Linked DNA regions of Mytilus edulis. The protein of the gene in region 3 interacts with the protein of the main gene of each other region in a pairwise test. Links are inferred from orthologs where the notes say so. Each region holds a gene or a part of one and is shown on either strand. Other genes may lie near its edges. The genes, in order: cyclin-dependent kinase 14-like, cyclin-dependent kinase 1-like, cyclin-C-like and cyclin-dependent kinase 5-like.

Region 1 (7,817 bases), on a different chromosome or scaffold from region 3:
TATCCATTGGTTTGATGTGTTTGAGCTTTTAATTTTGCCATTTGATAATTAGGGACTTTTCAATTTGAATTTTCCTTAGAGTTCGGTATTTTTGTGATTTTACTTTTTATGTCTCGTCTAAAGTCCAATTTTGGCCAAGAAAAAAATCCCTCTCTATATACTAAACTGTACGAGGCATCATGGTAGGAAACATCTAAGAAATATTTTTTAATGTGTGGCCTTATTTATTTTAATTTTTCATGCCTTAGACCCTACTACAAAAATAAGTATAAAATTGAGAATGGAAATGGGGAATGTGTGAAAGAGACAACAACCTGACCAAAGAGAAGAGAACAGCCAAAGTATCTACAATGCAGCGAGAAAATCATGTTTGTTCTCTTTTATCAGCAACTTTTCAAAAGCAAAGAACAAATTTACCTGACCAGGTTCAAAAACTGGACAGAGAGATGAACTCTTGCATGTTTATGATTAAAAATATTTCAAATTCCCTCTTTATATATATATATATTTAAACATGTTAAATGTAATACCTTTTCAAATTTTGGAATTAAGTTGACTTCAAGCATTTAACATGCACCTGTTTTCTCTTCACATGTACACAGTATTATTACCACATCTTAAGTATTTACAAACCCTCTCTTATGTAAATAAATACTACAAGATCAATATCTTTTCAAAGGAAATAAACATAATAAGTTGGTTTATTTTATATGTAAACACAACAGTGAGGATGATTATATTGGCTTAGGTGCTTGTAAAATCAATCTTATAATATATACATTGTATATTAAATAATTAAAAGTAATTAGCTGATATGTATCCCATCAGATATACAAATTTAATTATATATTGGGGCTGTCCAAAGGAGAATCATAATAAAATTGAGAATGAACCCTCCCTTTTTTTGGCCGATCAATGCATTTTAAAGGGGACATATAGCTGGACCCCCACCCCCCCTTTATCCTGGGTTGGGAACCCCCCATTTTTAAAATGGCTGGATCCGCCCCTGATGGTTCTCAAAGTTATTACTGTAATAACTAATATTGTTAAAAATTACAATTTATTTACTTGTACAATTTATATACATGTATCTACACGTACCTGTAACCATAAACATGTAGGATAGATTGAGTTCAAAGAAAAGATATTGATATTTTGCAATTCATTAAGTGATTATCTCCCCTCACATTGAATAATGTAAATGGAAATGAAAGATATTTTACTAAATTGTGAGCCTTTTTAGTTGAAAATTTCACAATGATAAAAAATATCAAATCATGTTCATGTATTGTATCAAAGGGCAGATATTGTATGACACTATAATAGACCATTTAACATTCTTTTTCTGTGACATGATGTAGTAATTGGTTCAATTCAATTGGTGGCAAATAACATTAAAGCCTCATTTTAAAGGGGGGCAGAACCTTTTTCGGGACGCCAGGATCAGGTGTTTTTAAACTTGGGATTTAGGGATTAATCCTTTCAGGATCTAGAAATTCTTTTTTCAATTTCTGGAATGTCGGAATTTAAATTTCTTTAAAGTTGGAACCTCAGGATCTCATGTTTTGAAGCCCTAGATTTCAGGATCAGACCCCCTCCGACCCTATCCCCCCCCTCACTTCTCATTTTATATTAGTATTGAAAATTGGTTGCCAACCTACATGTACAATGTATGATTTAATGGCACTATTTTTTTACATTTTTAAATTTAAGATATTAATATAATATTATGTTACAGCACAAGAAAGCAGGGGTTTTTTTTCAAATAATTTGACCAAGCAGTGTAGAAAAAGTCTGAGGTGGTCCCCAAATATGGAAAATAGTCCCCCAGAAACAATTAAATTTAGGCCAATTTACCAATGCTGATAAAGTGAGTCTCATTGGGGTCTAAGCGTGACGCAGGATTGCCGATTTCTTGTAAGTGTGACACGTGAAAGTCAAATTATTGTGTCTTGAAAACGGGAAATGAGGTCTAAGCGTGACGCAGGATTGCCGATTTCTTTTAAGTGTGACACGTGAAAGTCAAATTATTATGTCTTGAAATTGGGAAATGAGGTCTAACGGGACCCGGGAAATGACAAAAAAATGAGAATTGCTTACGTACATAGTGTAAGCGGGAAACGGGAATCTGACAAAACAGTAAGCGGGATCCGGGATCAGAACCCCCCCCAAATGAGAGCCCCAATAAATAATGCAACTCTGTGGTCCTTTGAAACACATGATGACTTGATCTTTGAGAGTGACTGCTAGGAAATGTTCAAAAAAACATGTACAAATGTACTTTTATTAAATTACTTGAGAGGTTGGGAAAGGGACCATCTTCTAACATAAATAGAGCCTAAAGGGCAAACACACCAAATTAACAAAAGCCAAAAACACAAGAATATATTTGACAGCAGTAAAAATTTTGGAATTAGGATCTTTTAGTTTCAGGCCAGGATAGTCTAAACTTAAGGTTGTCATATGAATGATGATGACACTACATGTGCACTTGTCTGAAAGGTTGGACAACCTACAGCATACCTGCCAAGTGTCACTATTTGCGGGGGATTTCCCCCATGGAGGCTCCTAAATGGAAATTTTGAAAGAGCAATTTTGTCCACAAATTTAAACAAAACAATTAGTTTTATAGTGGCTAAAGGTTTGTAACAGTATGAAGAAGCCTAAAAACAACATTAAAATATACATAAAGGTCCCCTTGAAGGTTTTGTAGGACTACATTAGCCATCTTGCACGCAAAACCCCCATGAGCATTTTGAAAAGTTGGCAGGTATGCTACAGGCCTGCACTGTTCAGCTGTTCGGCTGAACTGAAACTGAAACATATATATGAAATTTCTTCGCTAATAAACAAATAAAATATTACAGGCGTCTATTACAAAATGCAAAATGTTATTATTATATGAACATTCATTTTACAAGATGTCAATAAGTGTGTCAAGAACAGTCATTCTTTTGTCAACGAAGAACCCCTTTTTTATGCGACATGAGTCATCCGGTTACACAAAAACATCTTGAAAAAAACCTTACCGTCTCTTGATTTCGGTTTTTCACCATTACAGCGGACTTCGGTCGCCATATTCTCCGTGTGAATTCACTTTTGAATGATTAAATTTCATTATAATTCATTTCATTGTAAGAAAATGTTCCATTGTTGTTTGGCGACCTTTTTCTGATTTTCGATTTTCTGTCAATACATTTCATTCGGAACTCTTCTAGTCTAGTTAAAACCGCGGGAAATTTAACTACAATTATAGTTATGAAATATTGCTTGCAATCAATCAGACCACTCGCTTACGATCACTTAACATACCGTTATATTCCGATGAAATAGACAGAATAAGAATTGTACAGTGTTTCGAGAAATTATTGCTATGTATCTACTGACGTATTTTTGCCCCCCTAATTTTTTGTAAATAAACTAGTGAGTTCAGCACTTTGGAGTTCAGTTTGCTGTGTGTCACTGAATAATCATAGTTAACTGACTTTTTAAGCCCAACATACTGTTAAATACGGTAATGAGAGAGAAACTAGAGGCTCTAAAGAGCCTGTGACGCTCACCTTGGTCTTGTGCATATTAAACAATGGACACGGATAAATTCATGACATAATTGTGTTTTGGTGATAGTGATGTGTTTGTAGATCTTACTTTATTGAACATTCTTGTTGCTACAATTATCTCTATCTCTAATGAACTTGGCCCAGTAATTACAGTGGAAAATATTTTCTAAAAATTTACAAAAATTTATCAAAAATGTTAAAAATTAACTATAAAGGGCAATAACTCCTTAAGGGGTCAATTGACTATTTTGGTCATGAAACTTATTTGTAGATCTTATTTTGCTGAACGTTTATATTGCTGTATACAGTTTATCTCTATCTATAATAATATTCAAGATAATAACAAAAAACGGCAAAATTTCCTTAAAATTACCAATTCAGGACAGTAACCTAACAATGGGTTGTCCAATCCATGTGAAAACATCAGGGCAGATAGATCTTGACCTTATAAACAATTAAACCCTGTCAGATTTTCTCTTAATGCTTTGGTTTTTGAGTTATAAGCCAAAAACTGCATTTTACCCCTATGTTCTATTTTTAGCCATGGCGGCCATCTTGGTTGGTTGGCCGGGTCACGCCACACATTTTTTAAACTAGATACCCCAATGATGATTGTGGCCAAGTTTGGTTTAATTTGGCACAGTAGTTTCAGAGGAAAAGATTTTTGCAAAAGTTAACGACGACGGACGACGACGGACGACGGACGACGACGATGACGACGGCGGACGACGGACGCCAAGTGATGGGAAAAGCTCACTTGGCCCTTTGGGCCAGGTGAGCTAAAAAGATGCAAATATATAAAATGAACACGTATAAGGCAGCTACAAATTGTTTAATTTAGGGGGGCCGGGGTAGAATGAAATATTTGATGAAAGATAGGACTGGACAGTTTTGAGTATAACAATAGGGCAGGCATGATGAGCAACTTGGCAAAACATGAAGGATGACAATCAATGTAAAAAAAAAAGTAAGGATAAATTAATAAAAAAAAAAAAAAAGACAGGCCGTGACCATTCGCAGCAAATGGTTGCTCCCTAAAGGTAATTGTAAGTATATTGTGATTTTTTAAATGAATCTTCCGACCTTGACTGGTAAGAGTTGCAAATACATGATTTTTCCCACATTAGACAGAATGAAAATGAATAGTCTGCCGATATAAAACGCAGGAATTTATTGTGAACAATTTTTTAGAGAAAAATAATTAAAATAATAAATGTAGTGGGAAAAGTTTGTTTTGTGTGTGTGTGTGTGTGGTTTTTTTATTTAGCTTTTTGTCTTGAATTTATACATGCAAGCTGAGACTACTATAACACTGTGTTATAGTAGTCTCAGATGCAAGGTGAATTAAATATAGAGTAACACCACAGGCACTCGTCTCATGCAGCCCCTATACACCTTTATTTTTTTTTTCTGAGACGAGTGCCTGTGAGTAACACCGGCAACAACGTTACTGGTATTAAAAAAAATCAACAGAAGTTAAGCAAGATGTTTTTTGTTTTTTTCCATTTCAACTGACATTCAAATTGTAAAATCCGCAGCTGAGCCAAAACGTAGAACTTAAGAATGGTCTTTCATAACTTAATGTAAATTCAATTCATTTCCCTTTATAAATTATAGATTTTAATTGGAATGGACGAGAGAGTGACATTCTACTTAAAATTGTCACCCGCTCAGCCAGGTGACAGAGTAAATTAACACCAGCGTATTAGACAATCAAAATACGGCATTTTTATGTGAAGTATGATAATAAATATTGCTTACAGTGTCATCTTTTTCTCAAGGTAAGTGTTCATTTTCCACATTATTTAAATCGCATTTCAGGGGCGGATGCAGCCATTTCAAAAGGGGGGGGGGGGTCCAATCATATGTCAAATTCAAATGCATTGGTCGTCAAAAAAGAGGGTTCATCCCTCGGAACTCCCTGGATCCGCCATTGCATTTAGTACAAATTATCGCCACTGAATTAAAAGAGCGAAATTTACAGAAATTATACTAAATTAAATCATCGTGTTTGTGCTTGCATGAGCAAAACCGCAGGTGAAACGATTGGGGCTGGATTTTCTTACTCCTCCGGATCATCTGATATTTTTGATTAGTTTTTTTAAAGGGATTTCGGAGGGGGTCCTCATCTGCTAAGTCTTATTTTTCTATATTATGTTTTGTATACTACTATTTGTTTTGTGGTCGTTTTTTTCGTTTCTTGCTATGAGGGGGAGGACAGGGAGAAACGGGGTAGGAGAAAGGAGAAAGGGGGTGGGAGAAAGGAGAAAGGGGGTAGGAGAAAGGAGAGGAAGGCTGGGAGAAAGGAGAAAAAGTTGGAGAAAGGAGAAAAATAAAATATCTCTCCTTTTAAAAAATTTTCTAATATTTCAAGAAAAAATATCTCAAAAGGAGACGTTTTATTCTAATGGGAGAAAGGAGAACGGGGGTAGGAGAAAGGAGAAAAGGGGTGGGAGAAGGGAGAAGGGTACCCCCCTGTCCTCCCCCTTGCTATGGCATATTTAGTTCATATTCGACTAATGAGTTTGTGTATCCCTTTGATATTTTTGGTCTCTCTTTCGTGACAGAGTACACACCATTGAAGTACAATACTGACAGAGTTGCTCTCAAAATTAAGATTTCATTGCATGGTTTTAAATATGCGACATGGTGGTTGTAGCAATTCAGCTGAATTCTAATAGATTTTCCTGAAATCGCAACAATCAATCTCGCATTGCTGTCTATTCTTAAAAAATCACAAAAATAAATGCATGCAAAAATTTTTGTATTTACACTATCAACGACAGAGTTTACTTTTGGTCATAGAAGTATACCTTATGGCATGGTTGCTCAATATTTACAGGGGGCACACCATGAGAGTATGTATGACAGAATACTAATTACGGAAGGACAATCAGAGTACGCACCATACACTGGAAAACAATATTGCACAACATGGAATAAAATTGAGAATGGAAATGGGGAATGTGTCAAAGAGACAACAACCCGACCATAGAAAAAACAACAGCAGAAGATCATCAACAGGTCTTCAATGTAGCGAGACATTCCCGCACCCGGAGGCGTCCTTCAGCTGGCCCCTAAACAAATATATACTAGTTCAGTGATAATGAACGCCATACTAATTTCCGAATTGTACACAAGAAACTAAAATTAAAAAAATACAAGACTAACAAAGGCCAGAGGCTCCTGACTTGGGACAGGCGCAAAAATGCGGCGGGGTTAAACATGTTTATGAACTCTCAACCCTCCCCCTATACCTCTAGCCAATGTAGAAAAGTAAATGCATAACAATACGCACATTTAAAATTCAATTCAAGAGAAGTCCGAGTCTGATGTCAGAAGATGTAACCAAAGAAAATAAACAAAATGACAACAATACATAAATAACAACAGACTACTAGCAGTTAACTGACATGCCAGCTCCAGACTTCAATTAAACTGATTGAAAGATTATGATTTCATCATATGAATATCAGGCACAATCCTTCCCGTTAGGGGTTTAGTATCATACCATCATAACATATATGAGAAGAACATAACCCGTGTCATGCCAACAACTGTTTTTTTAATAAATGTGTTTAGTTCCGATGCAAAGACCCAATAAGTGAATCAATATTAACGCCAAAATAAGCAATCTTTATTGACCTGACAAGCATGATAGTGACATAGAGTGCATCCTAAGTAAGTCCGATAGCGATATAGAGTGCATATCATGGAAGCATGATAGTGACATAGAGTGCATCCTAAGTAAGTCCGATAGCGATATAGAGTGCATATCATGGAAGCATGATAGTGACATAGAGTGCATCCTAAGTAAGTCCGATAGCGATATAGAGTGCATATCATGGAAGCATGATAGTGACATAGAGTGCATCCTAAGTAAGTCCGATAGCGATATAGAGTGCATATCATGGAAGCATGATAGTGACATAGAGTGCATCCTAAGTAAGTCCGATAGCGATATAGAGTGCATATCATGGAAGCATGATAGTGACATAGAGTGCATCATAAGTAAGTCCGATAGCGATATAGAGTGCATATCATGGAAGCATGATAGTGACATAGAGTGCATGCTAAGTAAGTCCGATAGCGATATAGAGTGCATATCATGGAAGTACTATATAGTGACATAGCTGACTGTAAGTCAATATAATCAGTTTTCTATCATTTTTTTCCTGTACGGTACATGATTGCTTTATCCCGTACATCGTACATTTCTGTAATTGGTATTATATTACCTAGTTATTTTATTTTTCA
Region 2 (8,860 bases), on a different chromosome or scaffold from region 3:
TAATACTCCATTTAGCCCTTCGAAAATAGTTAAATTGATCACTTTTGGAGTGTCAAATATTCGTTGGAATTGCTTGATAAATTGCATGCTTACATTGCAATTGGTGATTTCAAATCTGTTCAAAGTTGATGATGGAAATTTTTAACTACCTTAACTGGCTATACAGCCCTCGCACGGTAGGTGTTCAAAGTGTTTTTTTACTGTCCTATATTTACCTCTTTGCCGCCTCATAATCTCATTAAGACAAAATAATCGTGACATTGTCACATGTTAAATATGCATTTAAAACTGAAGTCAGAATGAAATATATACACGCCTGGTAAACCATCTAATCTCAATCTAAATGTTGAGATGGAAAAAAGTATTCTGGCACTTCTTGTTGAGTTTTTCTGGTTCAAAATATTCAAAATAAACGCAGGGTAGGTAGACTTTTCGTCAATTTACTGAAAATCAATGCGTTTTTTGTAAATTCGGAGAATGTCATGCCATAGATATTGGAATTACGGTTTATCTCGTGTATAACACAAATGAATATGATTTAAAATGACATCGTAATGACTTTTCTCCAGCAGGTAAATGTGACCAGCGCAGTCAGCTATTGACAAAATGACAGTGATATCATTGATAAACTAGCATATATATCAGTAAATTAGTATTTTTCTAAAACATTATAAACATAAAATTACTGTTCGTTCTTTTTCTTTACTAATATAATTTCATTAAGCTAAATATGTTATAAAGTATGTCATGTTGAGATTTTCTGGTATCGGTTGAGATATTCTGGAACAATGTTGAGATCTTCTGGTGAATGAAATTTTCAACTATAAAAAAGAAGATGTGGTATGACTGCCAATGGGACAACTGTCCACAAGAGACCAAAATGACACAGACATTAACAACTATAGGTCACCGTACGGCCTTCAACAATGAACAAAGCCCATACCGCACAGTCAGCTACAAAAGGCCCCGATATGACAATATAAAACAATTTAAACGAGAAAACTAAAGGCCTTATTTATATATAAAAAAAAAAAAAAAATAACGAAAAACAAATATGATTCAATATGTAACACATAAACAAACGACAACCACTGAACTACAGGCTCCTGGCTTGGGACAGGCGCATACATAAATAATGTGGAGGGGTTAAACATGTTAGCAGGATCCCAACCCTCCCCCTTACCCGGGACAGTGGTCTATATAACAGTACAACATAAGAACGAACTATAAAAATCAGGTGAAAAAGGTTTACTTAACTCATCAGATAGACAAAAATACAATGATTGGACGTGGCCGGGTTCTTGAACATCCTGACAACAAAAATACACTAGGAACAGATCTGAGAGTACTCGCAGTTATCTGACAGCTAGTTCAAAGCCACTAACTACTAATAAAAAAATCATGCATCTTAGACTAAACTATCAATCCGTACACATCCAACATCCAATGAATTTAGTGTCAAGACGTCATAAACAGTCAGAGAAAAACATGACCTTGTGTAGCTTAGTATCAATTACATGTACAACTGTCAAAATTCATAAACTTGCCGTATATTGTTTGACATTTCAACAGTCATTTTAATCTTGTCTGTAGTTATCACAGCAGCTTCTAAAAAGGACTTTGGTTGTAATAGAGTCTAAATAGTAAATAGCTGTGTTTTTTTAAGTACTGGTATTAAAGTTCTAACGCTGGAGATTAAGTCTATAGCGATTGAGATGCAGTTTTGCACAGAAGCTTTAACGTCAATAATGTTGTAATTGACACCTCAAGGGCTAGAATTTATTTATTTATTTATGTGTAACATATTTGTTTTTCGTTCATTTTTTTTATATATATTAATAAGGCCGTTAGTTTTCTCGTTACAATTGTTTTACATTGTCATTTCGGGGCCTTTTATAGCTGTCTATGCAGTATGGGTTTTGCTTATATTATAAGGCCGTACGGCGACCTCTACTGAGTTGTTACTTTATGTGTCATTTTGGTCTCTTGTGGAGAGTTATCATTGGCAATCGTACCACAGAAAGAACATTGATAATAAAACGGATACATACAAATTGAAAACAAATCGCGTAAGAAAAAGCAATTATTGGTATGTTAGTTTCCTTTAGTATCATTTTTGGTTCAACTTCTTAATCATGATCAGGCAAAATTATTGGCTTTTTATTCTGACATTTGTTTTTCTTATTCCTCTTCCACCCCATTTTTCGGCATATTACACGTCCGTTTTATTTGGTCATCACATCGCGGACTCCTAACGGATGCAAATTTTGTAAATGAAAAACTTTTGTTATTTGTTATTTTAGCAGATATCGCATGTTTAGCATAGACACACACAATTTTGTTTTTTAGAATTTAAGTTGACCAGGCCAGAGTTCAAACTAACTATCTCCCACAATTTAGCTACGTCAAATCCAGTTTTAAAATATTTAAAAAGAAAACTGAATTAATATTCAGAAATGGATAACCATTAAAGTCATTCATTTCATCAAAAGTTATGTGGAACTATCTCCTGACACTTTTAAGACAGTTTTAGCTAGAACAGTTCTAACCAAGAACTGATTTGGTCATTGGTAAGTTCTACCTAGAACTGATTTACACACTTCAACCTGGAACTGATCCTGACAGTTCCACGGCTAAAAAAATCTACGACTAGAACAGAACTGCGACCTGATTTCGCCAAGAACGCATCACGATTGTTTTGAACATGTTTAAAGTTTGCTACTCTCAACACGATCACCAAGACCTCATCAAGACCGTAACACGACCATACTGGACTACGATCGTCAATAGCATAATGCATTATTTTTTTAGAGATCGTAGTGCGATCACGGCCTAGTGTGACGGGGCCCGGGTTATAATATAAATGTTGCTGAATACTACCAAATATTAAGGATGTGCCCTGAATGCAGTTGTGAACAAACATCTAAGTTTTAATTATTTCAATACAACACCTGTGATTACACTAAATTGGACGTCACTTATAATACTTACAAAGCAATTTTAAAATCGAATCATATTTTTTTTGTGATAACTATTATAATGACAAAAATGACATCTTTTACTCACATTTAAATTATCACCACCTGAAATAGTGTGTACGAAAAAATTATTCTAGACAAGGGGTCCTGTTCGATTGTTTAGTTTTTAACTATTTTATTTCTTTATACATGTACGCATTTTCGGCATTAAATAATGTCTGTTAGGAATCGAATTCATCCAAATCATATTAATAAATAACCATGTTAAAATAATGTTATTTATATTTGTAAGGCATGCATGTTTCTATCGGCAATGCTTAAAATTGTATCTGTATTTAGATTTTATGTTACCACAGACAGAAAACATGAATCAGGTTAACCGTAAAAAAAAAGGTAAACTCGAATAGTACAGCGCAACCAGAAAGTCTCAACATTGTGACAGAAAGACTCAACCAATACCTTTATATCTCAACTATTTATATTCTTTAATTTTTCTGCTCAGAGTAGCTTGACAAAGAAATATTTGTGCAAATTACAGACGTGGTTATCGTAAAGCCTTAAAAAAAACACAAATAATTGACATATTTTCTTGCTAAGTCATTAATATCATAGCAGTTCTATCGGATTTAAAGAATGTAAACATTATAATCCGTAGGAGAAAAGTGATTGTGACTTCAATTTAAAATATTTTAAACCAAGAAGAGACATATTAGTTACAATTATTATTTATCTATGGCATGACATTCTCCGATTTTACAAAAATGTCATTGATTTTCAGTAAATCGACGAAAATTCGACCTACCCTGTGTTTATTTTGAATATTTTGAAGCAGAAAGCTCAACAGGAAGTGCCAGAATACTTTTTTCCGAGATTAGATGGTTTACCAGGCGTGATATATGTAACTACGTATTTGACTTTAACGAAAGAAATATCGGTATTACTGAAAACTATTGCACCAGGATTTTCAATAACACAAAACTATTCAAAACATTTACTAAATTTTAAAGTCGGATCAAGGACTTCATTCGTAAATATAAATCAACATATCTAAAAGACATCTAATACTTTCAGAAAGCCACGAATATCATCGGATTTAGATTAATTTGAAAGTCAGACAAGACTCAGTGTTTTTGGTTCAATGACGACAAAATTATAAAAAACGCAAGTTTTATTTATTTATTATATATCTACGGAAATATCTCATCACATAAAACATACATATCCGTAACATAATCCCTTTGTTACCGCTTTACAGCATATATGTTGTATTGCACATCGTATGTTTGTTTCCTGGAATAAAAATTGCGAAAAGTCAAAGTGAGGCGAAAGATAATAAAGGGACATTCATAAATCGAAAAATAAACTGACAACACTATTACAGAAAACAAAAAAAATAAACTACAAAAAACAGTATACAAAAACCAACGGAACAAAACATAACAAATATATGTGTGGATATTGAATGTACAAGTTGTTCATTGAAAATAAAAACATAAATAAGGCCGTTAGTTTTCTCGTTTGAATTGTTTTACATTGTCATTTCGGGGCCTTTTATAGCTGACTATGCGGCATGGGCTTTGTACATTGTTAAAGGCCGTACGGAGACCTGTAGTTGTTAATCTCTGTGTCATTTTGGTCTCTTTTGGAGAACGGTTATCTCATTGGTAATCATACCACAGGCTTCTTTTTTTTTTTATATTATCCGATTCTCCAAGACTATACACAGTTGAATCAAAAAGACCCAAAACAAAATGTTGTGAATGTTTTTACATTCTGAACATATCTCTCAACAACTGAAAACGAAAAAGAGCATCTTCTATACATCGATCAATCTTGCATCTTGAAATCTTCTACCTATCATTAAAAAAAAAAGATTGAACACGGTAATATCAGTTATCGTACACATTATTTTGAGACCCCCTTCTATATTATTTACCTCGGAAACCGAGTCGGACAGTTAATGTAAATCTATGTAAGGGACTTCACGAAACTTTCCTAAATAGATATAGATCGATATAGGCAGATGTGATATGCGTGTCAATCAGACAACTCTCCATTCAAGTCACTTTTTTTTCATTTTTTGAAAAGTAAACCATTATAGCTAGGTCAAAGTACGTTCTTCAACACGAAGCCTTGGCTCTCACCGAACAGCAGGCTATGAAGGGCCCCAAAAATTACTAATGGAAAACCATTGAAACAGAGAAACCAATTAACGGTCTTGTCTATATATTTTTTTTTTTAAACGAGTCATGAACACTTATGAATGAACCACACCAACAAACGACAACCACTGAACATCAGGTTCCTGTCTTAGCGGACAGGTGCAAACAAATGCAGCGGTTTAAAACGTTTTAATAGGAACCAACGTTCGCCCTTACCTGAAACAATAGTGTTACATCACAACTGAACATAGAAATAAAAACTATGAAATATCGATTAATATATATTGCCATTTTATGTCTCATATCAAGTTTTTTTGTCACAGAAAAAAAGATAGATTGCCATGTTTAATGGATGACACGGACAGTAACCCAACAACTTAATGAAACAGAAAACATTTTTATCAATTTAGAGTAAAAATACTTACAGAATATATATCTGTTAAGACAGTACTATATAGCTATAGAATTTAGAATGGAAGCGTAAGATGTAGGCCCCTATCTGTAAAAAATGTTGTTGTCGTCGTTGATGTTGGTCAGTAAAATAATTTAAATATATTTTACTTGCTAGCAAATAAAATCTATATTGCATATTGCAACTAGCATGCACATATTAAGTTGTTGTCGTTCAACTTGGTGGCTGTCTGTAGTAGCTGATCTTAAAAAATATTATTTTGTCATAGATAAGCTAGCCCATTGGATTTTTTTCTTTTAAATTGTTTCTTAATTTACCATACCAGGACTTACAATCTGGTGTTCGTTTTGCTGATGGTTGAAGGCCGTATGGTAACCTCTAATTGCGTGATTCAATGTAATTTTGATTTAGTTGGAAATAGGTGTCTCGGATTGAAATCACTACATCTCCTTATTCCATATTCTCTTTCATTTCATCTCAGCTCTAGAGGGTGAAACGTTTTGGGGAAGTTAGATAAAGGAGATAAATAAGTGGAGATTTGGGATTAAGAGGTAATAATTATGGAATGCTAATTGAATATATGATGTTTAAAAGTGTGATTTGTGAGGGGAAAAAACGGTATTTTGAAAATGAGCTCTTCGTGTCACCTTCACCATCCAATTCAGTGTAAAAGGTTTATAAAGATTTAAATAAAAATAAAGGGAAAAAAACACAAAAACAAATAGCCGGAGAATCATTTGTTTTAAACGGATTAAAAAAAAGAAGACAAAAATGGACAAGAAATATTTAGAATAGAAAATCATTTGGTGCAAATATCTAAAAGAAAACAGAAAAATGATAAAAAACAAATCAGTAAAAATAGGTGATAGTGGCATCAGAATCACTGAAGAATACACCTGAGAAATTCATTTCAAGTATATGTTTTGGTATTTCGCAAGATACATGTATATGCTATTGCTTAGAGTTAATTTTTCTTTTTATTTATTTTGCATGCTGCATGCCTTGTTTTATGTGTTCAAGGATTTGTATAGTATTATACAAATCCTTGATTTGTTATAATTGCATATGTTTTATATTCGGTGAAAAGCTCATTAGAGATTACGTTTGTACTGTTTGTCAAACGGCATGCCGAATCCAAATAAAGTTTTACTTACTTACTTAAAATTGAGAATGGAAATGGGGAATGTGCCAAAGAGACAACAACCCGACCATAGAAAAAAAACCAGCAGAAGGTCACCAACAGGTCTTCAATGTAGCGAGAAATTCCCGCACCCGGAGGCGTCCTTCAACTGGCCCCTAAACAAATATATACTAGTTCAGTGATAATGAACGCCATACTAATTTCCAAATTGTACACAAGAAACTAAAATTAAAATAATACAAGACTAACAAAGGCCAGAGGCTCCTGACTTGGGACAGGCGCAAAAATGCGGCGGGGTTAAACATGTTTGTGAGATCTCAAACCCCCCCCCCCCCCCTATACCTCTAGCCAATGTAGAAAAGTAAACGCATAACAATACGCACATTAAAATTCAGTTCAAGAGAAGTCCGTTACTTTACTCAGTATTCATGCTGCCGGGTAAATTGCCGTTTTGAATTTTTGGCACGCTATTTCGAGCACGTCTTTATTTTGAATTTTAGCAGTTTACTCATATTTCTCATGCAGTTTGGAATATTAAGTTCGAAAATGCACAATACGCACTGCTGTGCACTGGTCATGAGGAGAACTACTGCAGAATGAGATACTACTAGAACACACCCGTGATATCGCGGTTCCGTGACTGAATTAACGTATAACTATGCGCAAGCCTTATCTTAGTATTAGTACTGTCATCTGATAAAGTCATGCCGATTATAAGATACACAATTTTCAAATCTTTCTGTTTGAACCCGTCGAACTGGAACTTATCAATTGTTGTTAATATTAAATATTTGGAAAACAAAAGGTCCGGGAATGGAGTATCTTTTAAACAACAGCATTGTCCTATATTAGTTATAAATAAAGTTGAATTCTTTGATTCGCTGTTTTACGTCATGCCCGCTAACAAATTGAAACTTATTTCTAGTCCAGATTTTTAGTATTTGTATTGTTATCTTAGAAAGTCTTACGGATTAAAATACTACAATAGGTAACAATTTGACAATTTAGTAGTGTCAACCCTGTGATTATGACCCGTTTATATAGCATATTAATCCTGAATACACCGTTTGGTGGTGCGCCTGTTAAATGCGGAACGTACAGATAAGGTAATAGGTAACAGGTGATTATACTATTGGTATCGGTATCGGACTCGACCCGGAACTTCCTAATTATTGGCGATATTAATTACGTGGAAAACAAAAGGGCCTGCAGTGGTGTAATTTTTAATCTACACCTTTGTACTATATTAGTTGTATATAAAGTTGAATTCTTTGATTCGTCGTTTTTACGTGATGACGGATGACAAATTGGACCTCGTAATTTTAGTATTATAGATATTCCTGGTTCTATTTTTACTTTTTGTTTCCGTATTAATAAACTTTATATCATATTCTTTTAATATTAAATCGACCTCATTGCACTCAATGCCTCTGACCTTAATTATATCCTACATTGCTCATATTATCAATTTATTATTTGTGTATTACTTATAATATTGTGTATTTCACTTATGTTTATATAATCATTGTATGATGTTTTTGTATCTTGCCCGACAAGAGCCCATGATTGGTTTAATAAAATAATGTCTAATAATGTCTAATGTCTATCCAATGCGGGTGTGCTCCTTTTATACAGGAGAATAATACTTGTACACGGAGGTAAAATTTCAGGAAAAAAAAGTATCCCGGAATTGACTCCGATAGTATATTCTAAAATTTTGGTCGGTCTAACGTTTTAAAATTATTCGAATTTTTGATTGGTCATATTTTAAATGCAGGAGCGGTGAAAAAAAGAAAAAGAGGTTTGAACTCTAGGTTTAAAGGCTTAATTAACTTGAAGTTTATCTGTATTTTGATATAGTTTGTTATAGATCTTCTAGTTTGTCTTAGAGGCATGTGATATTTGAGCACATTGTGATTTAGAAGATATTTAATTTTATCGCGCCATTTTCGAATTTGCCAATTTTGTTTGAACATGCCTTATCTGTTCACATGATTTTCAATTGTTTGTTTATTATTTAAAGTTTATGAATTATGTTTCAGATACTGCACTTATAGGATAGCAGCAATACTTTATTTGAATAATGGAAGATTATGTAAAAATTGAAAAGATTGGTGAAGGTGAATATGATAATTTATTTCGTCAATAAAAGACTATAAAAATTATA
Region 3 (8,691 bases):
AGTAAATAAATAAGACTGTTTGTTTTTCAAGTTATATCAGTTTCAAATTTAAAAAAAAATGTGCGACTATTAAATGTGGACCTTACCGTATTGTTGGTGGAAAGACGGGGACATGTAAGTCATTTTTTGGCATGACACTTATCGATAGAAGGGTAACTACGATTTTTATTGTTAAAAATATTAGCGATGGTCGTATTTTTAGATAAGCGTTTTGAAGATTGAGACGTGTAGATACCCTTTGAACGAGTTTAGTATTAAAATATTTTTCCATTTCTAATCTTCATATTTGTTTTTTTGTTTGTGAATTATATTAGAAAGGAGCAAAGACTGGTGTCCAGAATATGAACCAGCATACAATGAATTAAGTTATGTAAAAATGATAAATCTGTTCGGATAAAGATGTCAAACGCTATCCGTATTAATTACCCCGAAAAGATTAGGATATATCAGGGTATCGACTGACGTCTGACAAAATAGTAGAAAGGGGCTGAATATTGAAGTAGTTACTTTTTGATAAATATTCCTAAAGTAATGAACTAGAGAAGTTCTCGCTCGGACACACACTCCATAATCTAGTATATTATAAGAGCATATGCCTAACAGTATAATTAGGCAATAGACTTACTGCCTAGGCGTTAGCTTATTGCCTAGGATTTAAGCTTAATGTCTAATTTCACTTATTGCCGCTAACATATACATTTCTCTATAAAACAGGTTTGTTCAGATAATAAGCATACATGAAAAAAATGTTAGAATTTGTCATTTAAGGGCAATAACTCCTACAAGAACTCTTCTGACAAATTTAAAGTAAATTGACAATCTGTAAATCTCATCATACGTAACACTTAAGTTCATGACAGATTGTTTTTGTTCATATCGGTTTTCAGACCAAACTTGGCTGCTGATTTTCTATATTTATCTAAATGGTAAAAGAAAGAAAAATCTTTAACCAACATTTTCTCTTTCTTTTCCTGTAGACGGTTAGATATATGTCAAAAAGAATAACATCGGAAATGTGGTATCGGGAATCAATGAGGAGGTTTTGGAAACGGGCTACAGACTTATTTAATCATTTTATGGGTGAACCAAAAAGTATTGGCCACATTACAGAAAACTTTTGTGAGCTCGGAATGACAATCACAAGACGCAGTGATTAATTTTGCAGTTCCCAGCCAAAAGATACGATCAGAATTCATCGCCATGGACCTTGATATCCCAAATTCTTACTTCGGCTTTAGATATCTTGGTTTTAACGTTGAAACATGTCTTCAAGTTCCATGAGGCTGAAATGGTTTCCTTGTGATCAGTGGATTACAGGCGTAACTGTTACAGCTATCGGAAATTGTCGGAAATGACCTTTCTTGTATCAACTCGGTTCTTTCTAGTGCAAGTGACATATTTGGAACATACTCATATTATGTTAATGAAAGCACAATAGATATCTCGTATCAAGGAAACCATGACAGCCTCGTGGAACATGATGAAATGTTTCAACGTTAGAACCAAGATATGTAAAGCAGAGGTCAGATTTAGGGTTGTCAACGGCATAGCGATGAAGTGTGATAGTATCTTTAGTTTTGACTTGGAACTGCATAAAATTTTCCTGCGTCCTGGGGATCGTATATTCCACGCTCATAAAAATTTCGGAGTGTCTATTCGTTCGGTTGTCCGGCTAGCCGGACGAATAGCCATTACCTGCAAATTTTCTGTAATGTGTCCAATACTTTTTGGTCCACCCATAAAATATAAAAAAAATACCGAGAAAAATGATGTAACCAGTTTCCCGTCGGATACAGCCGATTTCCGATGTTATTCCTTTTGAAATTAATCTGACCGTCTACAGGGAAAAAAAAGAGAGAAATATTGTCTAAAGATTTTTTTTCTTTTACCATTTGGATAAAAGATAGAAATCAGCAGCCAGATTAAATTTTTTTGAATCTCTGTTTTGAAATCGTTAAGAATATTAGTGTCATCGTCTTCATCTCTCCTTGAAGCTGTATTGACATTTGATGGAAAAAAAATTCCGGTGAGTGTTTCATTGGAGAAAGTAATCGAGTTTGTTTTAGAGTGGTTGCTTTTGCGGCTTGCGCGAGAGCTTTTGAGAGGAACCTGGTGATGCACTTTGATGGAGTTTGACTGATGGTGGCTTCGGCCAAATATTTTATAGAGGTGTGTTCTGTGATTTTCCTCGATGTATCTGTGCAATGAGCCTCAACCGGGACCTTTTCTGAGTCAATTTTTTTACTTTTTACGAAATCAAAAGCACATGTCTTAAAAGACAATTTCAAAGAAAACAGGCAAAATGAAGTACATTCAGTATGTAATGTCTTATCATAAAATAGCAGATATGTTTGAACTAAAAAGTATCAGATATAGACCGATTTATATGTAAATCTATTCTATTTTTATAAAAAGCGATCTACCCCTTGAGACGCAAAATCTGACACCCCGAGCGACACTTCATATTTGGATGAAAAACTAGTTTTAAAATCAATTAATTTTAAGTAAGAAGCTGGTATTTGGTTAAATTACATGACAGGAATTCAATTCTATATGATACGGAAGGAAGTCGTCTAAAGAAGTTTTTTATCCAGAAATTTGCATATGAAGCCTCAAAATCTGCAACACGGAAAACTAGGGAGAGGTGTTTGAGGAAACATAGTACTAAATACGACTGCTTCTGCTTGCAGGAAATAGATTATGTTTCAGTTCATTCCGTGCAATACATTTTATGGTACTAAGAATTCTAAGAAAAAGAAATTTTGATACTTGAACTTACTTTGATAGTTTTTCTCCGCTTCGAAATTGCCACCCGGCCCGTGTCAAACATAGCCGACACCCCGCATGCATGTGGCGTTCTACAAGGTGTATTTGCAAAGAAAGAAATATGGATATGAAAATGGCACAAAATAATGAATGTACGCATTGTCATTCAGATAAAGCACAAACAAAATTATTTTCAGCAGAAAACAATATGGACCCTAAACATATTCCTTCCAAATTTATTATTTTATTTTAGACCGATGAAAAACCAAATATGTAGGTATATGATTAACTGGCATATAAGGTATTATATATTAAGAAGATTTTTTTAATAAAATTGAAAATCTTTTCCAGGTCATTTAAACATTTCCATACCGCTTCTCCTTCTCATCAGAAACCCTGCTAGTACTAGATTCAGTATGAATTTCGTTTTCACCGACTTATTCTCGCCCATTTGTATATTCATCAAATCATCACTTTCCTTTTGCAAGATATTTGTTTTAAAGAAGTCCCTGTGCTTTTTTTTTATGATGAATGATCAGTAACTATTGTTTAAAGTAAAGTAAAGTAATCTTTATTTAAAGTCGGTTTGCATATATACATAATAACAAGGAACATATGATCTTAAGAGCTCTTTAACCGACTGATATTAATAAACAAAAAATACATGTAATAACATCAGATACATATACAACACAAACACACAAACAGACAGACAGACAGCATACATATGTATCAATACATAAATAGCACATGCAAAATAAAAGCTAAGCAAGATATATATTAAAAGAATGTCAAATATCAGCACATAGTAGAATATATAGACAATAACTGTTTAGTGTCTTTAAATATCAGCTGTATTTGTACGAGGCTAGGAAACAAGGTGTATGCGAGCTTTTAGCGAGCTATTACACCTGTTTCGAGCCGAGTACAAATACAGCTGATATTTAAAGACACTAAACAGTTATTGTCTTTATCCTGCAATTAATTCTGTATATCATTTGTGTTTTGAAAGACACAAAAATACATATTTTGCATTTATTTTCGATTTGAAATCCCTTGAGGCCCGTGTAGTAATACGATATGTAGTAATCACACATTCAGAAGAAGGCGGGTTCGCAAAAAAAGAATCTCGAATGGTCAACAATAATACATCGCTCAAGGTGAATAATTATCTATTTTAACATAACAACTAATTTCAACAGTAAAAACAAATAACAAAACATTGTCCAATTTGAGACAGGAGTGTACGAGTTGTCCTACGCTTCAGACTCGACATTTACTTAAAATGCATGCTGAAATTGACATGGTTGTTTTTGTTACACAACCATACACATTCAAGTTGTTCATGTGTGTATGTTATCAGACAATTGGTGTGATTCTTATTGCTCTAAAGAAATGTTTGGAAACAAACAGAACGTATAAAAGTAATCGTTAATTCGCAATTGATACGTCATTGGAATGCGACTCCAATACACATTCTGAGGTCACGTAGGTTCATACAATACTCAGTCCGGCAGTTGGCGGAGCTTTTAAGCGATATCTGTATAGTATACAGATACAGCAAAGCGATATCTGTAGGGCTGTATCTGTATAGTAGAACACCCAATTGCAGGATAAAGTAGTATTTATATTAGAATAGCACATGTAAAATTAAACACTATGAACACAAGCAAAAGACTGCATGCAGCTAAAGCACACAATGCATAAGCAAATAAATAAATAAATAAATAAATAAATAAATAAATAAATAAATAAATAAATAAATAAATAAATAAATAAATAAATATATAAATAAAAATAACCGGCTGCAAAAAATAACGGAAAAGCGAAAAGTTATCCCCAATACACGGATGCCCCACTCGAACCGGGTATCATTTTCTATGTTCAGTGGACCATGAAATTGGGGTAAAAACTCTAATTTGGCATTAAAATTAGTACGATCATGTCATAGGGAACATGTGTACTAAGTTTCAAGTTGATTGGACTTCAACTTCATCAAAAACTAACTTGACCAAAAACTTTAACCTGATGCGGGCTGGGACAGACGGAAGAACGAACGAACGGTACGACGAACGGACGGACGGACTGACGCACGCACGAACGTAGGTGGGCATAACAATACCAGGCTTCAAATTCAAATCATTGGACAGCAAGGAGTTACATTATTTACAAGAGCTGCAGGTACAATTTATGAAAAAGAGCAGGTGGAGATAAAAATTTTAACTGTTTGAAGGCTAGAAACTGGCATTTAAATGTTTTGTATGGTTTACTCAAACCTTGGCCTTACCCATAACAACTATGTTTTGTCAATAACTTGGTTTATATCAGGTTAATTAGTGTAAATGTGTATTCATGTGGTTTTTTGTTTAAATGTACTTTAATCATTCTAATCATTTTCTGTGCTTTATTTTGTAATTCATTTGATTGTATAGCTCAAATTTTGGGCACCATGATTGGTTAATAAAATTATCTATCTACCTTAACTTTGCACAGGGAGAATTATAAATGTTTATTCGCTGGTTAACGATTACGTTCGTCAATTCCATTATTATTTATATTGTTACCAATATCGAGGGGCCTCAAAATCAGCTTCAAAATAATTGACGTCAAATCTCGGAAATGTCACACAGTTGGTCGGCATTTGATGCTGCGATTCTAATCATTTTCGGACATCCGGATCTTTTTTTCCCAGAAAAAATAATAACATTACAGATAGGACTCAACTAGAAAGCACCTGTTATTAATACCCCAGTGCGATACAGTTATTTTGATAGTATGAATTGATACACAGTTGAAAATGGCAGGAAACTTCTGGCAAAGTTCTCATTTGTATGTACAAAAAGAAGTTTAATAAATATTAGCATGTACCACACAAAAGATTACTATGAAAAATGAAATACTAAGGCATATCAGAAAAAAATCATAAATTGGATTGAATTCTTTTCTTTCAAATTATCAAGTGGGTGAAATAAAGGGAAGTCAATAGGTATAATTTGTATTGCCTGTTAATATGAGGCAGGCATTACCTGTAAATGGGGACGAAGTCTATATGAATTATTTTTTTGTAACTCAATTATTTGTCAAAAAAAAATACACGGAAATACAGTAACGTTTCCGATTTTGGTTCTGTTGTTAAGGATTTTAGTTGTGACGTTATTTAAATTATGACGTCATATGCAATGTAAACAAGAAACGCTATCATTAGGTAACGTTTTTTCATATCAAGGAATTATTAAAAATAAAATAAGTATTGCGCGTTCCTTCCTATTTTATACTAGACTGATAAATATATATTTTACTCAAAGTTTCATACAAACGAGACCGGAAAAAGGAAGTATATTGTACATTTCTGCGCAGGTCCGGAATTTCAAAACATGACATAAAAAAAATTGAACGATTTTGAGTTCATTAGTACAATGAAAAATTCGGGAAATTTTCCCGAATTTTTTTTTTTATTGAATTTTCTACTGTTATTGGGGACTTCGTCCCCATATAAATATTCTTTCAATATATTACAAAAGTTAAAACACAATATATCGTCGTGTCATATGTTTTTGTATGTCATATGTTTTCGTATCAACCACATTTCGTCGGTTTCGACTGCATACGCGTACATTGTGGCATGTTTTTCTGTTTATATATTTAGAACAACAACACTACTACAACTTGATATATTTAAAACATATTCAACGTCGCTTTTTAAAGACGTTAGAACAAATTAAATAAAACTGACCTATTTAGCCATTTTTATTTAATGTCAAAAATACGCATCACTAGAATAGTTGTGGAAAAAAATTCTGAAGGGTTAAAATAAAGTCCAGATATGTTTTTTTGCAAGTCAGACACCGGATCTTCAAGACGTATGACTGTCATGTGTTTTTTTGGCCGTTTTAATTACAAACCATCGAGTTAAAATTAGCAGGGTTCTTATATAAAATGGTTGTTCAAAATCTAACTATTCAATATTTCATTGACAATTTTTTTTATACATCCTTGATACATGAAGATGAAAACAGTCTTTTACTTTTTATATTTAATCATAAATTTTGAAAACTGCATTTTATTTTAGAAAAAATAATGTATTTTGTACAAACCAGGTGCCAATCTGAAATTAATCAAAATCTAAAAATTTCATCACACGAAACACCAACCTTACACTTTTTACTAGTAATTTTTTGTACTGAAAAGTATTTAATAACTTTTTTTAAGATTCAAGCGATCACCCGAACCACGACTTTAGAAAAAATGTATTTCCGGATTTTGTAGTCATTTCCTGTCCGTGTACTGATCCAACTTTTATTTCATACGAAAACATATGACACCGTTTTTTTGACATACAAAAATCGCAAAGTAATCGGAAACAGTAAAAAATCGTAGAAATCATTGACAAAAAAACTAGATACCTAAAATCAATCTACAGGACATGCTTTTTAAATTTGAGTAAACACCTAAATAGAAACTCAACAGTAAAAACCGTAAGCAGTGAAAATTGTTATAAGTACGAAAACACATTACACGATGATACATGTATCATAAATAATTAAATACATGTACACAAATGAAAATACATAAACATAAATGCATAATAAATATATTTTTTGGCAAACACATCATCCGCCAAGCCTGAAAGGCCGCCAAAAAAATAAAGATAAAATACTAACTATCAAAACAGTTAATCATGATTAACACCAGACATACTATTATCTTTTTTCTCTCTTCAAATAAGCTCCTTCCTTTCAAAATGTGTATAGATAATGAAAGGACAAAACAGCAAACCAACTCAGAATGTATGTAGATCCTGGGTAGTTAGAGGAAAACCAACATTATATTCAGGATGCAAGTTCTCTGAAAAGAGAAAAAAGAATAATTATAGTAAACAATATACATGTATGAAGTACAAAATGTAAATAAAAACACAATTGTAACACATTACAATTTATATACTCTGATGCTTAATAATGTTGATTATCTTTTTTCTGAAAAGTTCTGTACCAGCAAAATTTAAATGAAGCCCATCTCTCGGAAGCAAATGAGGAAGAATCTGGAATATTGTAGAGTAAGAAACTCTATACAAATTACAATATAATAAATTATTTCTTTTACACAATCTTTTTAACTCAGTATTAACTTTATTAACTTTAGCTCCAGTGTTCATGTGATCAACTGGTCTAGGAAGACTTAGCAAATGTCTTCTTTTTTAACTTGTTAATTAAATCTCCAAAATAAGACATAATAGTATCTACGGATTGAGACGAAGAAATATTATTAGTACCAACATGTACTATAAGGAAATCTAATGAAATTAAATCTACTTTCCCAGATGAAATTAATTCAGTAAGACGACCAATAGTGGCACCAGGAAAGGCCTGAGTTGTACACCCATCTATTCCACTAACATATTTAGGTATAGACGCTGACACAATGGTCACCCTTTTTTCTAAGAAATTCCCTGTAAAATTTATAATAAAACATCTGAAATATGTGCTGTCATCTTTTCTGCTACTGAAATCTTATTGTCTAATGAAATTTTAAATATCTCTTGTAAGCATCGATTTTCCAATCTTCGTACAATTGAATTAACTCCGTAGGTACTTCGGCTGCAAAAGCCCAGCTAGCCCCCCCCCTCGCCTAAAACTATGTGTAGAATATGACGACGCATCTATACCAATCTCAGTAATTAACTGTTTCAGTATTGTCTGAAATTGTCTATACAAGACAGGTACACATAATTTATTTTTTATAAACAATAAGCTGGACTCTTATCAGAAGTACAAACCAAAGACTTCATATTCAAAAAAGCTTGAACGGGACACAATGGAGAATCTGGTATTGAGACTAGAGGTATCAATAATTCTCTCTAACCAAACTGAATGGGGTTCGACCATTTAACACTTATCAATAATAGCTTACGCTTACAATCGAAAA
Region 4 (8,282 bases), on a different chromosome or scaffold from region 3:
AAACGAACATAATTTGTATGATTTATATGTATACATCCCCCCGCCCCCCAGGCCCCCACCCCCACTCCCTCCTTTAAAAAAAAAAGAGTTTTTTCAAGCATTGTAAGTTGTTTTCTTGTTTGAATTGTTTCACATTTTTTCATGCCAGGAACTTTAATCAATTATGATATGGTATGGGTTTTGCTCAATGCTCATTGTTGAAGGTCATATGGTGACCTACACTGCATACATTCACTTTTTTTGGTCAATCAATGGACTCAGCATGGTTGAAAATTGTCTCATTGGCAATCAAACCACATCTCCTTAATTTTGTATTACCAGAATCTATTTTTACTGAATATAGAAGTCTAGTTTATCTTACTTCGTCATCATCATCTAGTCGTACTCTTTTTAAAGCTACAACTTCATGTGTGTCACGATTCTTAGCCTTGAAAACTGTACCATATGTTCCTATAAAGAAAATCTAATTACCGTAAATATGTTTAGTAAATCATGTGTTACATATATAGAGAATAATACATGGCAAAATCCGTATCATATGCCGTATCATCCCGAGATATCAATATCAGCCCGAGGGCCTCTATTCCCAAGGGATGATATTGGTCGAGGGTGATACGGCATGTGATACAGATTTTGCCATGTATTATTCTGTTTATCATATATTTTAATGGAATCATATTCATGGGATATCCATTTTTTTTAAATCGTCCGAAATTATAAGCAAGAAAAGAACATTGTGATTGTGCTGTATTTTCCCAGCTGATTTTTTTTTATAGACTTCCTTATTTGCTTAATATCCACATCGTAATATCCCCTATAACCAAATTTAATTCTCACTATATGTTTAAGACAATGTATTAAAATGCATCCACCAACGATACTATCCTAATATTTCAACAAAAATTAATATTAAAAAAATAAATATCGTAAGATGTAGAATGTTTAAAGTTTTATTGTTTATTTGGCGATGATATTATTCATGATCTGGTTCATTTTAACTTCTGGCGAAGTGAACACCAAGAAAAATATTTATTGGAAAGTTTACTATCTTTTCTAATCAAATTAAAATCGTAAAAAATTTCATTTGTGTTTAACCCATCAGGTAATGAAAAGAGACTTCATAAAAAATAAGACTAAACAATAAAACTTCAGATATTTCCATCTTATTGTGTCTTTTTTTTATATAGATGAAAATCGCTCGTGAAGTCACTGGTACTATTTTTTTTTGGAAAATATTGATTTTATTTGAAATGCTAGGACATTTTTGTTAGTTTGAACTCGATACAGGGTATGTGATACAGACTGGAAAAAAGACCCTTTATTAGATATACAAAATTGCTGTATTTTATACTAAGTATATGATAAATGTACCTAACATACCCATATTCTGTTCTTAAACTATAATATAGAAATGTAAAAACTTACAAACACTTCATATTTTTTCAGTGGAAATTTGTGTTTTTTTGTAATTCTACATAAATTATTTCTCTAACTTTTTTCCCAGTGAAACATGTTACCATGGTAACCAGCTGGTAACTAACAATTTCAATTCAATATTGTTTAAACTTAATAATTATTGAACGATTCATGCATGAATATTTCTTAATCATTTCTGTCCATTCAATTTTGCAATACTAGCCTCACCGGACACAATTACGAACGATTTTTGAACTGTGATTAATATTTTTTTTATGTAGACTACTTTTCTTGAATTTTTTATACCATAGAATTTAAGATGTATGAAGGCTTTCTATTTTGCATCATATCCCACATAAATTTTTATGCATGTTGGGATACTTTAGTAAGATTTGCGTGACTTCGTTTTACGGGTCAAGAGAGCCACATATGGACGCAATTCCGAACAGCACTATATTGATATATCTTGCAGAAGAAATCAATGACAACAGTCTATATTGATAAAGCATACATTAATCTTTATCTCAAACACATTTTCATAGGAAAATAAAAAGCACAAGTTTGTTTTTTACTTCAATTACTTCAGCAGTGGTTGCAGACGAAATGTCGGTCATGTGTAAAGGAAAGATTTTTGATTTTTTTTGTTTTTGTGTAAGTTCCTCCTTTAAAGGAGCACTAAATTCAAGTTTATCCATTTCGGTGGTGTACTTATCATTCATCTATAATTTTTTTTATATTGGTCAACATTTCTTTCGGAGTTGTCTGGACTTTTCAATAAAATTAACATATTTTCTTTTGGCCATAAATAGGTTCACAAGAGTCTTAAAAACGTCAATTGTGGGGTTATATGGGCATGATAAAAGGCATCACGCATATGAACAGAATCAGGAGATATTTTTCTTTCTATATATTAACAAAAGAAGGCAATATGCACTTACCTTTATGTATTTTTTTTATATAACTTCCAGGTCAGATTGCCGTTCTTATAATATTTTCAGAATGATTTTGTCATCGTCATCAACATTCACCAAGTGCACATAAATTGTATTATCATGAAAACAAGGGATTTTTAATAGGGTTTTTATTTATAAAAACATTTATTGATAAATATAAACAAATATGATCTCGGAGGGCAAACATTGGAAATCGTTCGTAATTGTGTCCAGTCGTAATTGCGTCCTGTGGGGCTAATTGTTTTCGTACTACTAATTTTGACTTTGCATTATGTAATTTTAAAATTGTGCATATAAAACATGAAACTGTTTCCTTAAACATTGTAATGATTGTAAGCTTTATTTAATTCTTTATGTTGCTCTTATCTTACTGAGTACCAGAATGTTTTTCCATTGATAAAGTAACCTGTCAAAAAAAATATAAATTCAGGCTTCAAACGTCAGGTTACATTTAAGTAGCATTTCGCTAGGGCAGTGAGACAGCTATCTATGTTAGCCAAAGGTAACAATCCTGGCTACTGGGATGTGAGACTGCATTTAATTATTTGGTCAAAACTTGACAAAAGCTTGTGGGTTGTGTTGTTGATGCTGAATCTCAAAATATTTTATTCTTATTCTAATGACTCCAATACAATATGTGTTTTTATTCAAATTAAGGTGCCTCAGGTTGCAATGGCATAGATACAATCTTAATTCAGTATATGCAAATTATACAGTTTGTCTCTTATAGCATTATTGCCATTTATAGCTGTCATAAATTATTGATTTATTCAGTTGTTTACAACATAGACGTAAGATTATAGTTTCTTCTTTGAAGTAGAAAAAAATCGAACTATCAAATTATCTACTATATTTCCAACGTTCTCGTCCATATTATTCATAAATTTTACGAACCTTCTCCTATTTTCTCTAATTTTTCATATTTTTGCATTTTCTGGAACAATTTTCCGGAGAACTATCGTACAGGGGAGCGAAACCATGCAAATGGTATGAATTTACTTTCGACACGTAGTGTGTCGCCACCTGCCTCTTTAGAAACTTTACAAAGTCCGAGAGTCAATATAATCTAAGTTAACAGTTCGATATAACGTTTTGACCGAGAACGTTAATGATTTTGCAAGAATGATTTTATAAAGAGGCTTTTTACATTTTATTGAAAATTTCCATATTTTTTTTAACAACTTCATTGATTGTTGCATTAGCCTTCATGTATTCTTAGCGTCTGCATTCAACATAAAGCTCATGGGATTTCCTGATAAACTTGCAAAAGTTTTCTTTTTGTCTGCTGCGGCGCCGGCTTCCTCTATGGTTCAGTGTTACTGTAGTCATAAATGAAAGACATCATTCACAGTGCCTGGCACATCTGTTGTTCCTCAATGTACTATCTTGGTTCCAGTCTTGTTACTTATATATATATATATCAATGACCTGTCAGTATTGAATTGACCACTTACTAAGAAGGCTGGGTTTGAGGACAAGGAGGCTTTAAAATTATACTTTTGGTAACAAATCATCATTGGTTATGATAAATGAAAATGAAAGAGGACACTGACTGACATCCTGACTTTTATTATCACTGGACTAGTATATATTTGTTTAGGGGCCAGCTGAAGGACGCCTCCGGGTGCGGGAATTTCTCGCTACATTGAAGACCTGTTGGTGACCCTCTGCTGTTGTTTTTTTATTTGGGCGGGTTGTTGTCTCTTTGACACATTCCCCATTTCCATTCTCAATTTTATTTTAGACTATATATAATATAATATATAAGAAAAATGTAAGTAAAGAGAGATTAACAGCTTCGTTGCTTTCTATCTAGATAAATGTACTGTGCTATCCGTCAGCTAAAAGAAACAACCCATTTAGCATGGCTACATTCTACATAATCGATCGTACACTAGAATATGTAACCTCTGCTAAATACCGCTGTACCATATACATGTAGTACAGTCATACCTCGAAAGAGAAACACATATATAGTTGATATTAGACAATATACGTATACCGTGTCTTGAAATGTGAAATTTATTTGTATGAGGCTTAGAAACGGGAAAATGCGAGGTTCTATCATACTGAAATCGATAAAAAAAAAAAAAAAAAATAATAAAAATATGAAACAAACATTTGAAAAAAAAAGTGTTGGGAATTTCCCCCTTGGGGTACCATTTTTGGGTATTTCCCTATGAGCGTAGTCTAGGCGGTAAGCATTGACAATTTAAGGAATTAGAAAGGGAAAATGAATTTAATTAATAATATTTGATAAACATGGTATATAAATTACCAATTTGAAGACATAACAGGTTTAAATTCATAAAATTTTGACCATTGTTACTACATGTTGTCATGGTTGCGACGTGAAGTTGTAAGTAGGCGGGGCTTATAGGTGAGTTGAGGTCATTGACGTATAAAGCTAACGTTTATACGTATAGCTTTATCTGTATAGTAAAATAGCTGATTGCAGTATAATATATCATCCTACAGTACCGCAATAAATCAATGTGGTTCCGTAAACATAATCTGAAAACACAAATCATCGCGATTTAAAACCCAGGGATATCAAACACTCGTTCTGTCAAAACTTGAATAGTCTTGTTTTGCTCATTTATATACAACAGAGAACCAAGTCGTAACCCGAAATTGAGATGGTCTAAACATATTCACCACAATAAAATTAACGTCACTGACAGAAACGTATGCTGTATTCATCATACAGCCTCGTACTATAAACATGTAGCTCAACTATACTTGTGACCAGGATTGTTGATTTTGAGTTGCTTAATGTCCACTGGCAAATATGTCATGCATGTCCTGGACAAGCAACAACCAGGAAACCCGATTCACTCACACACAAGAACATGCAATGACTCATACAGACACTCATACTCTTCCACAACACAATACCTTCCTGTATTACTTGTTTAGGCTACAACAGTCTTTGATATCTTAAGTGAACAGCTCATTTCTACTTTTCGCTATCCTTGTTAAAAAAAAAAGCTTAAAACCAGATGGTATATAGTGTTTGTAATTTGATCAGAAAAATGTCATTTTCATTGCATTAATAAGGTAGATATGGTGTCTTCCTCCATCTTGGATTTGGAAATACCAGAAAACAAGGTCTAGATCTTTAATAGAATGTGCAAATTTTTAGAGTAGTGGGTATTTCATGCGTAAGAACTTTCATTTCAGTATGGTTGTATTTTACAAAAAACAGAAAACTTTTGTTTGATAAATTTTTTTCCAACTTTGCCACATAAGGGAAGGCAACTCAAATGCAAGGACAGATTATTCAGATTTTACAATAGAATGTGTTAGGAATTTACCTTTTTTTTTTAATATAGCGAAAAAACGGGTCCGGTGATCCCATTTTTTTCATTACTTAACTGAAAGCATACTATTAAAGCTATCTTCTCATATGTTATCTCAAAATTCTATGGTGTAGTTTACGCTTTATTGCAGAAAATTGGGTTTTCCATACATAATCTATACAAAATTTGTCAATTTTGAACACCATGTAGCGGGAAAATAAGCCCCGTGACCCATTCTATTTTTTTTTTAAAGCATGATTTAGACTATATTTTGGCAAATTATTAAAAAAATATATGGATTGTAATTTAGACACCCCATCTACCTTAAATAACTATTTTCTGTTTAATTTGGAGTGAAAAACCCATGGATGCAACAGTTTGACATCACCGAATGTCGTAACATACTATATAAATAAAAAGACACAGTTTGAGTGGTAAATTACAGAATACTCAATACAGCAATACAGGATATGATCTTTCAATCAGTTTAAATGAGATCTGGTGCTTGCATGTCAGTAATTGCTAGAAGTCCTTTGTTAATTTTGTATCATCGTCATTTTGCTTATAGTTTCTTTTGCTGCCTATTCTGACATCGGACTCCGACTTCTTTTAAACTGAGTGTTTACTGAGCGTATTGCTGTGTGTTTGTTCAATTTACATTGGCTAGAGGTATAGGCCGGGGTTGAGATAATAGTTATCAAAAGTACCAGGATGATAATTTTATACGCCAGACGCGCGTTTCGTCTACATAAGACTCATCAGTGACGCTCAGATCAAAATAGTTAAAAAGCCAAATAAATACAAAGTTGAAGAGCATTGAGGATCCAAAATTCCAAATAGATGTGCCAAATACGGCTAAGGTAATCTACTCCTGGGGTAAGAACATCCTTAGTTTTTCGAAAAATTCAAAGTTTTGTAAACAGAAAATTTATAAAAATGACCATATAATTGATATACATGTTGAACCCCGCCGCAATTTTTGAGCTTGTCCCAAGTCAGGAGCCTCTGGCCTTTGTTATTTTTTTTTTAATTCTAGTTCATTTATATGCATGTTTAGAATTTAAGTATGACGTCCATTTTCATTAAACTAGTACACATTTTATTATAAGCCAGTTGAATTCCGAGTCTTGTTCTAAATTTGATGTCTTAGAAATGGTTACTCCTATTGTAATACATTATGTTCTATATTATTCAGATTTAGATATTGTCGTACATTGATATTTACCATTTGATACATGTCCAACACAATATGTTTATAAAATTCCATTAGTCTATTATATTGTGATTTTTTTTGTTAATGATAATGTAATAAAAATAATTTAAAAAAAACTGACTTTGTTTTGACATGGTAAAATTTCTTAATTAATATGCAAAATGATACATTATAATTCTATACATATCAGTAGTAACGAGAAATATACATTATAAACATGCTTATGACATATGTGATAGTTTTAACCACTTAGACTTTATTGGAGCGAGCTAAGTTGAGTTGTAAAAAATCAGAGTCACACATGATCAAAAACCGATTAAAAAATATTAAGTTGAGGAAGATCGCAATAATCAGATTTCTGAGATTTTTATTTTTATTTTAAATATATGCCGAAATTTAACATTTAAAAGTGCCGAACAATAAATGGGGCGAAACACTATCTTTATACATCATCTGAAGACCGAAAATATATATCTTGTGGTAGTTAGTCATTTCATGGTCACGAGAAAAAACGAGATTTCAATTTACCAAGCGAAGCCGACAAAGAAAATCAAATGCAGCCACAACAGCGGTCGTTCCCAGCACAGGGACCACCAATGAGACCATTTCCCCAGCCAGGTTATTCCCCTGTATGTATATCTTCTTGTCAAAGATTAGTGAGATAAATATACATGTGTACAACTATGAAAGTTAAGAACAAAACAAAAAGGGGGATGGTAATGCTTAGACTGTATATCACTTTTTAGAGGGAAATACTTTATTGCTTTATACATACTAGGTATCACAAAATTAGGACCATGCAACTGATAATGCTTATCAGTCGTCAGTTATGGTGCTGTCTGATGTACAGTATAGTATACACACTCCAAAGACTTATGGCTTTACTTTGCCTGTGGTTAACTCTTATAACAAATAATGGGTTTAATTACAAGATAATCCATTTCCCCATTTAAATTTAGTCACAAAAGTCTCGTGATAACGTCAGAATTTATGCAGTATTGAGATAAATACAGCAGCACTCCATGAAAATATCAACATACATGTATTCAAGTTGTCATAATGATCAACTTACAGTTGGTTATATGAAGGTGATGGAGTCAAACATAAACTAACTGTTATATGTTAAATATGTTAAAATCATAACATTTGCTTAATTAACCTGTGTAAATAAAAAAAAGCATGCATATAGAAAAATGATTAAATGTTAAGAAACCATTTTTCTTATCTCCACTTATGCACAACCATAAGTTTCCAAAACTCACTTGTATAATTAATTTGTGTGAACATATTCACAACAAACTTTCATTTCATGAAAATTTCTTAATGATTGATATCACCCTCAAGATTTTTGCGACTTACATTTGTGTCCAAAATTAGGGAAACCTATGTTTTCACAGA

The links.
Region 1: the proteins of cyclin-C-like (region 3) and cyclin-dependent kinase 14-like interact in a two-hybrid assay, tested with the Drosophila melanogaster proteins (2 studies listed by BioGRID). The link is inferred for Mytilus edulis from reciprocal best matches to the Drosophila melanogaster genes CycC and Eip63E.
Region 2: the proteins of cyclin-C-like (region 3) and cyclin-dependent kinase 1-like interact in binary tests that used the Drosophila melanogaster proteins (3 or more experiments, as listed by UniProt). The link is inferred for Mytilus edulis from reciprocal best matches to the Drosophila melanogaster genes CycC and Cdk1.
Region 4: the proteins of cyclin-C-like (region 3) and cyclin-dependent kinase 5-like interact in binary tests that used the Drosophila melanogaster proteins (3 or more experiments, as listed by UniProt). The link is inferred for Mytilus edulis from reciprocal best matches to the Drosophila melanogaster genes CycC and Cdk5.

The regions. Positions count from the first base shown.
Region 1 is NC_092357.1:68,246,715-68,254,531, forward strand, and holds the start of cyclin-dependent kinase 14-like, read right to left. Parts: upstream 3,191-7,817; 5' UTR 3,079-3,190; coding exon 3,030-3,078; intron 1-3,029.
Region 2 is NC_092352.1:29,768,806-29,777,665, forward strand, and holds the start of cyclin-dependent kinase 1-like, read left to right. Parts: upstream 1-5,463; 5' UTR 5,464-5,551; intron 5,552-6,033; 5' UTR 6,034-6,103; intron 6,104-8,396; exon of another isoform or gene 8,397-8,507; intron 8,508-8,735; 5' UTR 8,736-8,776; coding exon 8,777-8,813; intron 8,814-8,860. UniProt on the Drosophila melanogaster protein: Plays a key role in the control of the eukaryotic cell cycle. Required for entry into S-phase and mitosis.
Region 3 is NC_092346.1:91,811,904-91,820,594, forward strand, and holds the start of cyclin-C-like, read left to right. Parts: upstream 1-5,412; 5' UTR 5,413-5,563; coding exon 5,564-5,595; intron 5,596-8,691. UniProt on the Drosophila melanogaster protein: Component of the Mediator complex, a coactivator involved in regulated gene transcription of nearly all RNA polymerase II-dependent genes.
Region 4 is NC_092345.1:21,240,289-21,248,570, reverse strand, and holds the start of cyclin-dependent kinase 5-like, read right to left. Parts: upstream 3,396-8,282; 5' UTR 3,301-3,395; coding exon 3,264-3,300; intron 451-3,263; coding exon 362-450; intron 1-361. Other genes in the region: SWI/SNF-related matrix-associated actin-dependent regulator of chromatin subfamily D member 1-like, read left to right, coding at 7,439-7,513. UniProt on the Drosophila melanogaster protein: Probably involved in the control of the cell cycle. Interacts with D1 and D3-type G1 cyclins. Possible regulator of neuronal differentiation and/or development.